2 linked regions of the Xenopus tropicalis genome follow. The protein of the gene in region 1 binds, or shares a complex with, the protein of each later gene. Links are inferred from orthologs where the notes say so. Each region holds a gene or a part of one and is shown on either strand. Other genes may lie near its edges.

Region 1 (3,827 bases):
TCTTTTAGATGGCAGTATCCTAAGCAGCTTTGCAACTTATCTTTTTTGCTGGATTTGTATTAATTGGGTTTTCATTTTTCGAAGTGAAATCGTTTCTGCTTGTTAGGGCCATTGACTAGAATACGGATTCCACGCCCACCCTTTGCTCATATTTCTTTTAAGAACCTAGATACTAAAATGTATTCTTATGTCTTCCACTTTAAAGGAACAGTAACACCAAGAAATGAAAATGTATCAAAGTAATGAAAAAAAAAAAGAATGTACTGTTGCCCTGCACTGGTAAAAGTTGTGTGTTTGCTTAAAAAACCCTACTGTAGTTTATATAAATACCCTGCTGTGTATCCATGGGGGCAGCCTTTCAAGCTGGAGAAAGGAGAAGGCACAGGTGATGTAGCAGATAAGCCCTGTAAAATACGTAAAAAAAAAGGTGTTTTATCTGGTTTCTACCATGTAACCTGCACCTTTTCTCCTTTTATTCCCAGCTTGAATGGCTGCCCCCATGGCTACATAGCAGAGTGTGTATATAAACTGTAGTAGCGTTTCTAAAGGAAACAGATCAGTGTTACCAGTGCAGCGCAACAGTGCGTTACGTTTTAATTACTTTAAAGTGCTTTCATATTGGTGTTAGTGTTTCTTTAATAATGCAAAGCCACATTAATTTCCTTATTTATTGTACTTTTGTAGGCAGTTTCAGAAGGTTTCTGTGCTGAGGCATTATATACAGAACTCACAAGAACTGTGTCAGTTTCACCATCGTGCTGCTCTGTAGGCGGCGGCCTAAATGCAATATTAATATTGCATGCTAACCTACATAAAATGCTAATTATTTCTTGGAAATAATGTATCTAGGCAAGTATTTTAAATCTTCTCATTCCTCATGCCAGAGAGTGCTGTGGGGCCTTGGAATTCTATGACAAAGCATTCGATCGCATTACCACCAGAAATGAGAGACCTTTGAAGAGTATTAAAAGAATATTTCACACAGTGACTACCACTGATGATCCTGTTATTCGGAAGGTGAGGTACCATTTTGCTTGGACTTTTTTTCTACAAATTAAACCTTGTGATGTATTGACACCTAATAACTTTTCTTGTATTCTTTCTCCATAGTTGGCTAAAACTCAGGGCAATGTCTTTGCTACTGATGCTATACTTGCCACGCTTATGTGTTGCACACGTTCAGTCAATTCTTGGGACATTGTGGTCCAAAGGGTGGGGTCGAAGATCTTCTTTGACAAGAGAGACAACTCAGACTTTGGTGAGTAGGCAAAAGGTGGCACCAGTCTAAGCTTTGTGAGCTCTGTAGCAACCAAAGCCTCAAACCCTAATATAGTAGCTTGGAGGTACGAAGGGGAGCTGAGAGTCCAGATGCATGCCTCTGAAGCTTCCCCTTGTTAGCTTTATATAATCACATCACTGAGCATACTGATCAGTACTGGAGAATGGCTAGCAAGCCCTCCAGAAGCCCAGAGCTCCTTGTGCACTGTCGCCATGGCCATTATGAGATAGGTAAAGCCCTAGAGGGCAGATTCAAACTTGTGTATCCTCACAGCCTTAGGGTTGCTGTGTCACAAATGCAGTAAGCTTTATAGATAGAATATCTTTTTTAACTTCACTATTATTGGGCTTAAGGTAGCCTGTAGATTAGTATTGTCTGAGAATGTTCTGTGTTCAAATATTTTACAGCAAATGGCTGAACCTGGTGGTCTAGATGTGTAACCTGACACCCTTAAATATAGTTTGCCGCCTGCTCCACCTAGGTCCATTAGTGTTCTATATAGTGATACATATTGAATGACTGTGTAAAATGCACAAACAACTGCAACCTTAACATAATGTTATATTGCAGTTGTTTCCATAGACAGATAACAAATTACATAGTTTATCTTAGTAAAGTCTAAATCTCTGATATGGACTTATGCAAATGGAAAATGGGGCTGATCAAGGTAACTTTTCTTGTGGAAAGATAACGTTAAAAAGGCAAAGTTAGGGATTAGCACAAGTTGCTTCACTTTGTACACAAAGGTAAGAGGCACTTGTAACTACAGTTGTTAATTAAGTGAAATTAAACTTATTGGCTGTGGCCTGATCCGTTGGATATTTTGTTGGAAGTGAGCCAGGATAAATAGTGGCATGAAAAATGCCCTGTGTGCACTATTTATAGCCCTAAAACTCCTTTTCCTACTCTACTTATGTAATACTGTCTTGATTAGATTGTATAGATATAAAAGCCATGATTTGATTGGCATGCAATGAAAAGTGCTTCTGTACATGATTTTGTGTGTTTAGTTCTCTTGTGTTTTTCTTGGCACGCTGCTTAATTTTTATGTCCTTCTCTAGATTTGCTCACCGTGAGCGAAACTGCCAATGAGCCCCCTCAGGATGACGTGAACTCCTTAAACTCCCCACGGAATCTGGCCATGGAGGCCACTTACATCAACCACAATTTCTCCCAGCAATGCCTTCGCATGGTGAGTGCTTTGACTATAGAAGCCTCATATAGAATATAGGCATATAGAAGCCTATAGACAGTGAAGCCTCAGTTACTAACATTGGCGATAAAATTTCTTAACAGCAAAGGCCCATGGCAAGCAGTCTGCAATTTACTTTTAATAGTTAGCAGAAAATGAAAGCATACATCTGATTGGCTGTATGAGCAAATGCACTGGTGTCACTGAGCACCTATGTTTTATATGCTACCCATAATGTTCTCTTGTTCATAGTATGATTAAATCTACTTGTAGTTAGTTGGCTGGAAATAGTTGGTATCACTCAATAGGCAGGCTGTACTAGGGTGTATTATTATGTTGGGAATTTGGGTGCCAAGTGTGTCTCATATGTATGTGAGAATTTATAATGGTGCTTTTTTGGACCCAGTTACTCTCACTATAGCTTTGGGGGACATAGGGACTGTAGGTATAGCTTCCACCTGTATGAGGCAGGACATTAAAGGAACAGTAACATCAAAATATGAAAGCGTATTAAAGTAATTACAATATAATGCACTGTTACCCTGCACTGTATAACTGGTGTGTTTGCCTCAGAAAGACTATTATAGTTTATATAAGCAAAGCTGCTGTGTAGCCATGGGGGCAGCCATTCGAATGAGAAAAGGCACAGGTTACTTAGCAGATAACAGATAAAATGCCATTGTATTCTACAGAGTTTATCTGTTATCTGCTATGTAGCCTGTGCCTTTTCTCCTTTTTTCCAGCTTGAATGGCTGCCCCCATGGCTACACAGCAGCTTATTTATATAAACTATAGGAGCGTTTCTGTAGCAAATACACCAGTTTTACCAGTGCAGGGCCACAGTACATTATATTTTAATTACTTTAAAACACTTTCATATTTTGGTGTTACTGTTAAGGAACAAAAATGGCTCCTCCTTCTCAAGCCATATCCTACAGTACAGCTCAGTTTTTTCTAAGTGCCAAGGTTAGGACCAGGTCTGGAGTACTTCATGGGCCTTCAGGAACCAAATATCAGCTCTGGCATTCGTTTGGCCCTCTTTTCTACACTTTTTTTTTTTTTTTTTGCAGCATCTCACAAATGCTTTGGATGCAAAGTTCTGCAGGTGTTGGTCATTTTTGGCTCCGCCTGCTGCCCTCTGTTTGATTTTCTTTCTAGGTGACAACTTTGGTCCTGTGTCCCTCGGGTTAATTTAATAATGATATATATTTCTCAAAATCACAATCTTTTTTTCAAGGCTGGTGAGATGACAAATGGATTACAAGATGCAAGACTTTTCACCTTTATAACTAGGAATTTCCTTTTCTCTTTCAGGGCAAAGAGAAGCACACATTTCCCAACCCAAATCCCTTCATA
Region 2 (3,827 bases), on another chromosome or scaffold:
AATAGGTCACTTAACATAATATAAACAATCTTGCCACACTGGAATACATATATCAGTAAATATTGCCCTTTTACATCCTTTTCCTTGAGCTGCCATTTTGTGATGGGCTGTGTGCTCCCTCAGTGATCAGCTGACAGGAAGTGATGCAGCTCTAACTGTAACAGGAAGTAGTGTGGAAGCAAAAGGCAGGACTCTGCCCATTCATTGGCTGATGGGGCCTAAAATGGCAGTTTTCTATATAGGATTACCCAATAGCACATACTGCTAAAAACTACATTTTTTATGAAAATGGTTTATTTAGATGTTTATGTAATATATTTGTATAAAGACCTATACTGTTTGGGGATATAGTTTTCCTTTAAAAGAAAACTATACCCTTCTAGCAACATGGAGCTTTTTTAAATGTTTGATGTTTTCAATTTTAGATACCTGAATGCCATTCAGACTATGTGTCCGCACATTCTCCGATATCTGACGACTGCCGTGATCACCAACAAAGATGTGAGGAAACGAAGACAAGTCTTAAAAGATTTGGTTAAGGTCATCCAACAGGTAGGCATAGAATAACATTTTCCCACCTTGTACAAATGGTCTATAACGGAATAATTATATTTCTACATGTAGTTGATTGGTAACACTTCAGTGTGTTTGTTTCACACTAAGTACACGTATTTTTAGGTCTTAGTAATGTTATTTCTGCTTATGAAAAAAACTTTTAGGAAGCTGACGAAACAGTATCTGCTGAAGGTTTTGCTAGTGCCCCAGCTATAATTTGCTTATTGACTAGTGGCAAATTGCATATAGCTGTAACTTGCCTATAAAACATTGTTTCATTAAGCAACACTGCAGCCAGCATCCCTGCACTTGTGGGATATAGGCAGGTATATGAGACACAACAAAAACCTTTGCAGTTGTTGCTTGAAACGTGGGTAGTGTAAATCACCAATTTGTGTTTAGATCTAATGTAATATATATATAATATAATATAATACATGGCTGTGTCTCCTTTCCCAGGCTGTGCAGGGGAGCCACTGGCACTCAGCACACTGCACTGTAGAAAAGGGACCAATCAACTGCTAGACTGACCTGAAGCCTGTCTTTGCTTGTGTGACTGATGGGCTGTGATTGGCTATCCCTCTCCTACTGTGCTTCTGGCAGGGGCAATTAGGACACGCCCACTCCACATTTGAAACAGACAGGGGCCAGTGAGGCAGGGGTAGGGAACCTATGGCTCGGGAGCCAGATGTGACTCTTTTGATGGCTGCATCTGGCTCACTGCCAAATCTTTAATAAAAAATATAAGGAGGGCGTGGCCTGCACTCGGTGGATAGAAGACGTGTTCTAAGCCTTAGAACACGTCTTCTATCCGCCGAGCGCAGGCCACGCCCTCCTCTGCATCTCATCTGCATCCGGCATCCTTGGGACCCACCCTACCTTGCCCCGCAGAATCCGCGGCCAAACATATTGTATGGCTCTCACGGAATTACATTTTAAAATATGTGGTGTTTATGGCTCTCTCAGCCAGAAAGGTTCCCGACCCCTGGTCTATAGGGAGCTCCAATAAAGTGGTATTTTTTTAATAGGAATTATTTTATATAACCATTATTGCCTACAACGTTGGAGGGACGTTTAGTTATCCTGTATGTCTCCTTTAAAATGCCTGAATTGCATGCCTTCGTGTTCTAGAGAAAAGTTTAGATGCTGTAAATCCATTTAAAATTTTACACAACGGAATGGTGGGTGTAAATGTTGTTCATAATGCCTTCACTTTTTTTTAATACAGGAATCCTACACTTACAAAGACCCGATTACTGAGTTTGTGGAATGCTTATATGTCAACTTTGACTTTGATGGAGCACAGAAAAAGTTAAGAGAATGCGAATCGGTGAGTAAATTGCCTATTGCAGTGTATAAATTGCTGTGTTGAATATGTGTATATAGTGCTTATGCAGGATGTCCCCCCAAGGCTGAGCCCAATACCGTATTATAGTGGCGTGGTTTATTGTATTCTCTTATCCTGTATTCAGACTGCCAGTCAAGAAAAGGCAGTGGTACTTTTGTGTGATGCTAGTGGTGATTGAATCAGTAGGGCAGTACAACACCCCCTCTTTGTAATTATTTGTTACTGAAATGATCTGACTTCATGTTCTATGGCTAGCTTTAGATCCTAGTATGACAAAGTAGGGATAGGGAGATATCCACAATGGTAGGAGTTATTACAGAAACCTGACAGAAGAGTACTGTAGAGCCTGAGACCTTAGTTCACTCTCAAGATAATTAGAACCGTAAACCTCAATATGTTATTCAAGATTTGGGGCTTTTTTATTCAATTACTCAGAGGAGAGCTTTATCTGAAAGTTTCATGACCCAGTTAACAGTGAACCACACCATTTGAAGTGATGATAGGATGGATCTGATATTAATTAGAACAACTGATAATGATGGTGACAGAGCTTGAAAGGAAATACGTTTGTGGTGTGTTTGTGCCTCATGTTGTGCAGGTACATAAGGAATGCAGCTGCATATGCTTTGGTGCAATTAAGCTGGACTTATTAAACATTGTAATGGCTTTAATGATGTTGTGTACTGAGTCATAAAAATGGACGTAGTGATTTGTGCCCTTAGTCATGTAATGGGGGTTATGACTGTTTTAGACCTGTGCAGATATGGGATGTATTCGACAGAATGCTTGGAACCTTGGATCTTCCGGAGCAGTTTGGAGCTCTGTGCCTGGAGGCTACCTAAAACCCAATAGGACTGTTTTGCCGTAAACACAATGCAGCTTTGTTAAAATCATTTATAAGGTTATATAAAGTACAGTCTTATTACAGAAATGGTCAAGAATGAAGATTTATTAAATAGGAGACACTGGGTATTGGCATTATCATTTGTTGTAGTTTTCTGTATAGCATGGCCTGTTCTTAACAACTTTTTATTTGGTCTTCACTTTTTATACTTTTTCAATTATTTGCCTTCCTCTACTGACTCTTTCCAGCTTTCAAATGGGAGGTCACTGACCCCAGAAACCAAAAACAAACCTGTTGCTCCGTGAGGCTACTACTTTGTTATTTTTAATTTGTATTACTTATCTTTCTATTTAGGCCCCTCTCTATCGATATTCCAGTCTCTTTCAAACCACTGCTTAGTCAGGCAGTTAAATTGAACCCTAGCAATCAGACAGCTGCTGACATTCCAAACTAGAGAGCTGCTAATTAATTCAAAAACCACAAATAATAAAAATGAAGAACAATTGAAAATTGAATGATCCAGGGTGGCGCTTGTCAACCATGCTGCATCACCCTTGTCAGAAGGGTTTCCTTCTCCTTCAAACCTTACACTTGCTCACTATTACACTCATAATAAACATTGTATTTTTCTCCCTCTTATTAGGTGCTGGTAAATGACTTCTTCCTTGTGGCCTGCCTAGAAGACTTCATTGAAAATGCCAGACTCTTTATATTTGAGACTTTCTGTCGCATCCATCAGTGTATAAGCATCAGGTAAATGTTTCTCTATATTGATATACCCACTCTAAGGTAGCATGGCTTTACATCATCCTAGGAGTCTGTGGGAGGACTTTGTACTAATGGATTGTATAAATAGAAGCAAACCATACCATACTAAATGTGTTCATCTAAAAACAATATGCACTATATCCTTTACAGTGTATAAAACCCGGGAGAAGGATTTGTGTTGTCTATAACTCCTGCTTGATTAAAAACTGGTTTTTATTTGGGGCGTTTGTATTTATGGAGTATAAGAAGAGATCCAGCTTCAGGTTTTGCCCTTTGCCGATGGCTGTTCTACTGTACACTAAAAACAAAAAT

The links.
Region 2: eif3d (region 1) and eif3e share a complex: the UniProt entries of both Homo sapiens proteins name them as parts of the eukaryotic translation initiation factor 3 (eIF-3) complex. The link is inferred for Xenopus tropicalis from reciprocal best matches to the Homo sapiens genes EIF3D and EIF3E.

The regions. Positions count from the first base shown.
Region 1 is NC_030680.2:123,536,315-123,540,141, forward strand, and holds part of eif3d (eukaryotic translation initiation factor 3 subunit D), read left to right. Parts: intron 1-884; coding exon 885-1,017; intron 1,018-1,110; coding exon 1,111-1,258; intron 1,259-2,340; coding exon 2,341-2,471; intron 2,472-3,785; coding exon 3,786-3,827. UniProt on the Homo sapiens protein: mRNA cap-binding component of the eukaryotic translation initiation factor 3 (eIF-3) complex, a complex required for several steps in the initiation of protein synthesis of a specialized repertoire of mRNAs.
Region 2 is NC_030682.2:133,675,071-133,678,897, reverse strand, and holds part of eif3e (eukaryotic translation initiation factor 3 subunit E), read left to right. Parts: intron 1-425; coding exon 426-552; intron 553-1,783; coding exon 1,784-1,885; intron 1,886-3,390; coding exon 3,391-3,500; intron 3,501-3,827. UniProt on the Homo sapiens protein: Component of the eukaryotic translation initiation factor 3 (eIF-3) complex, which is required for several steps in the initiation of protein synthesis.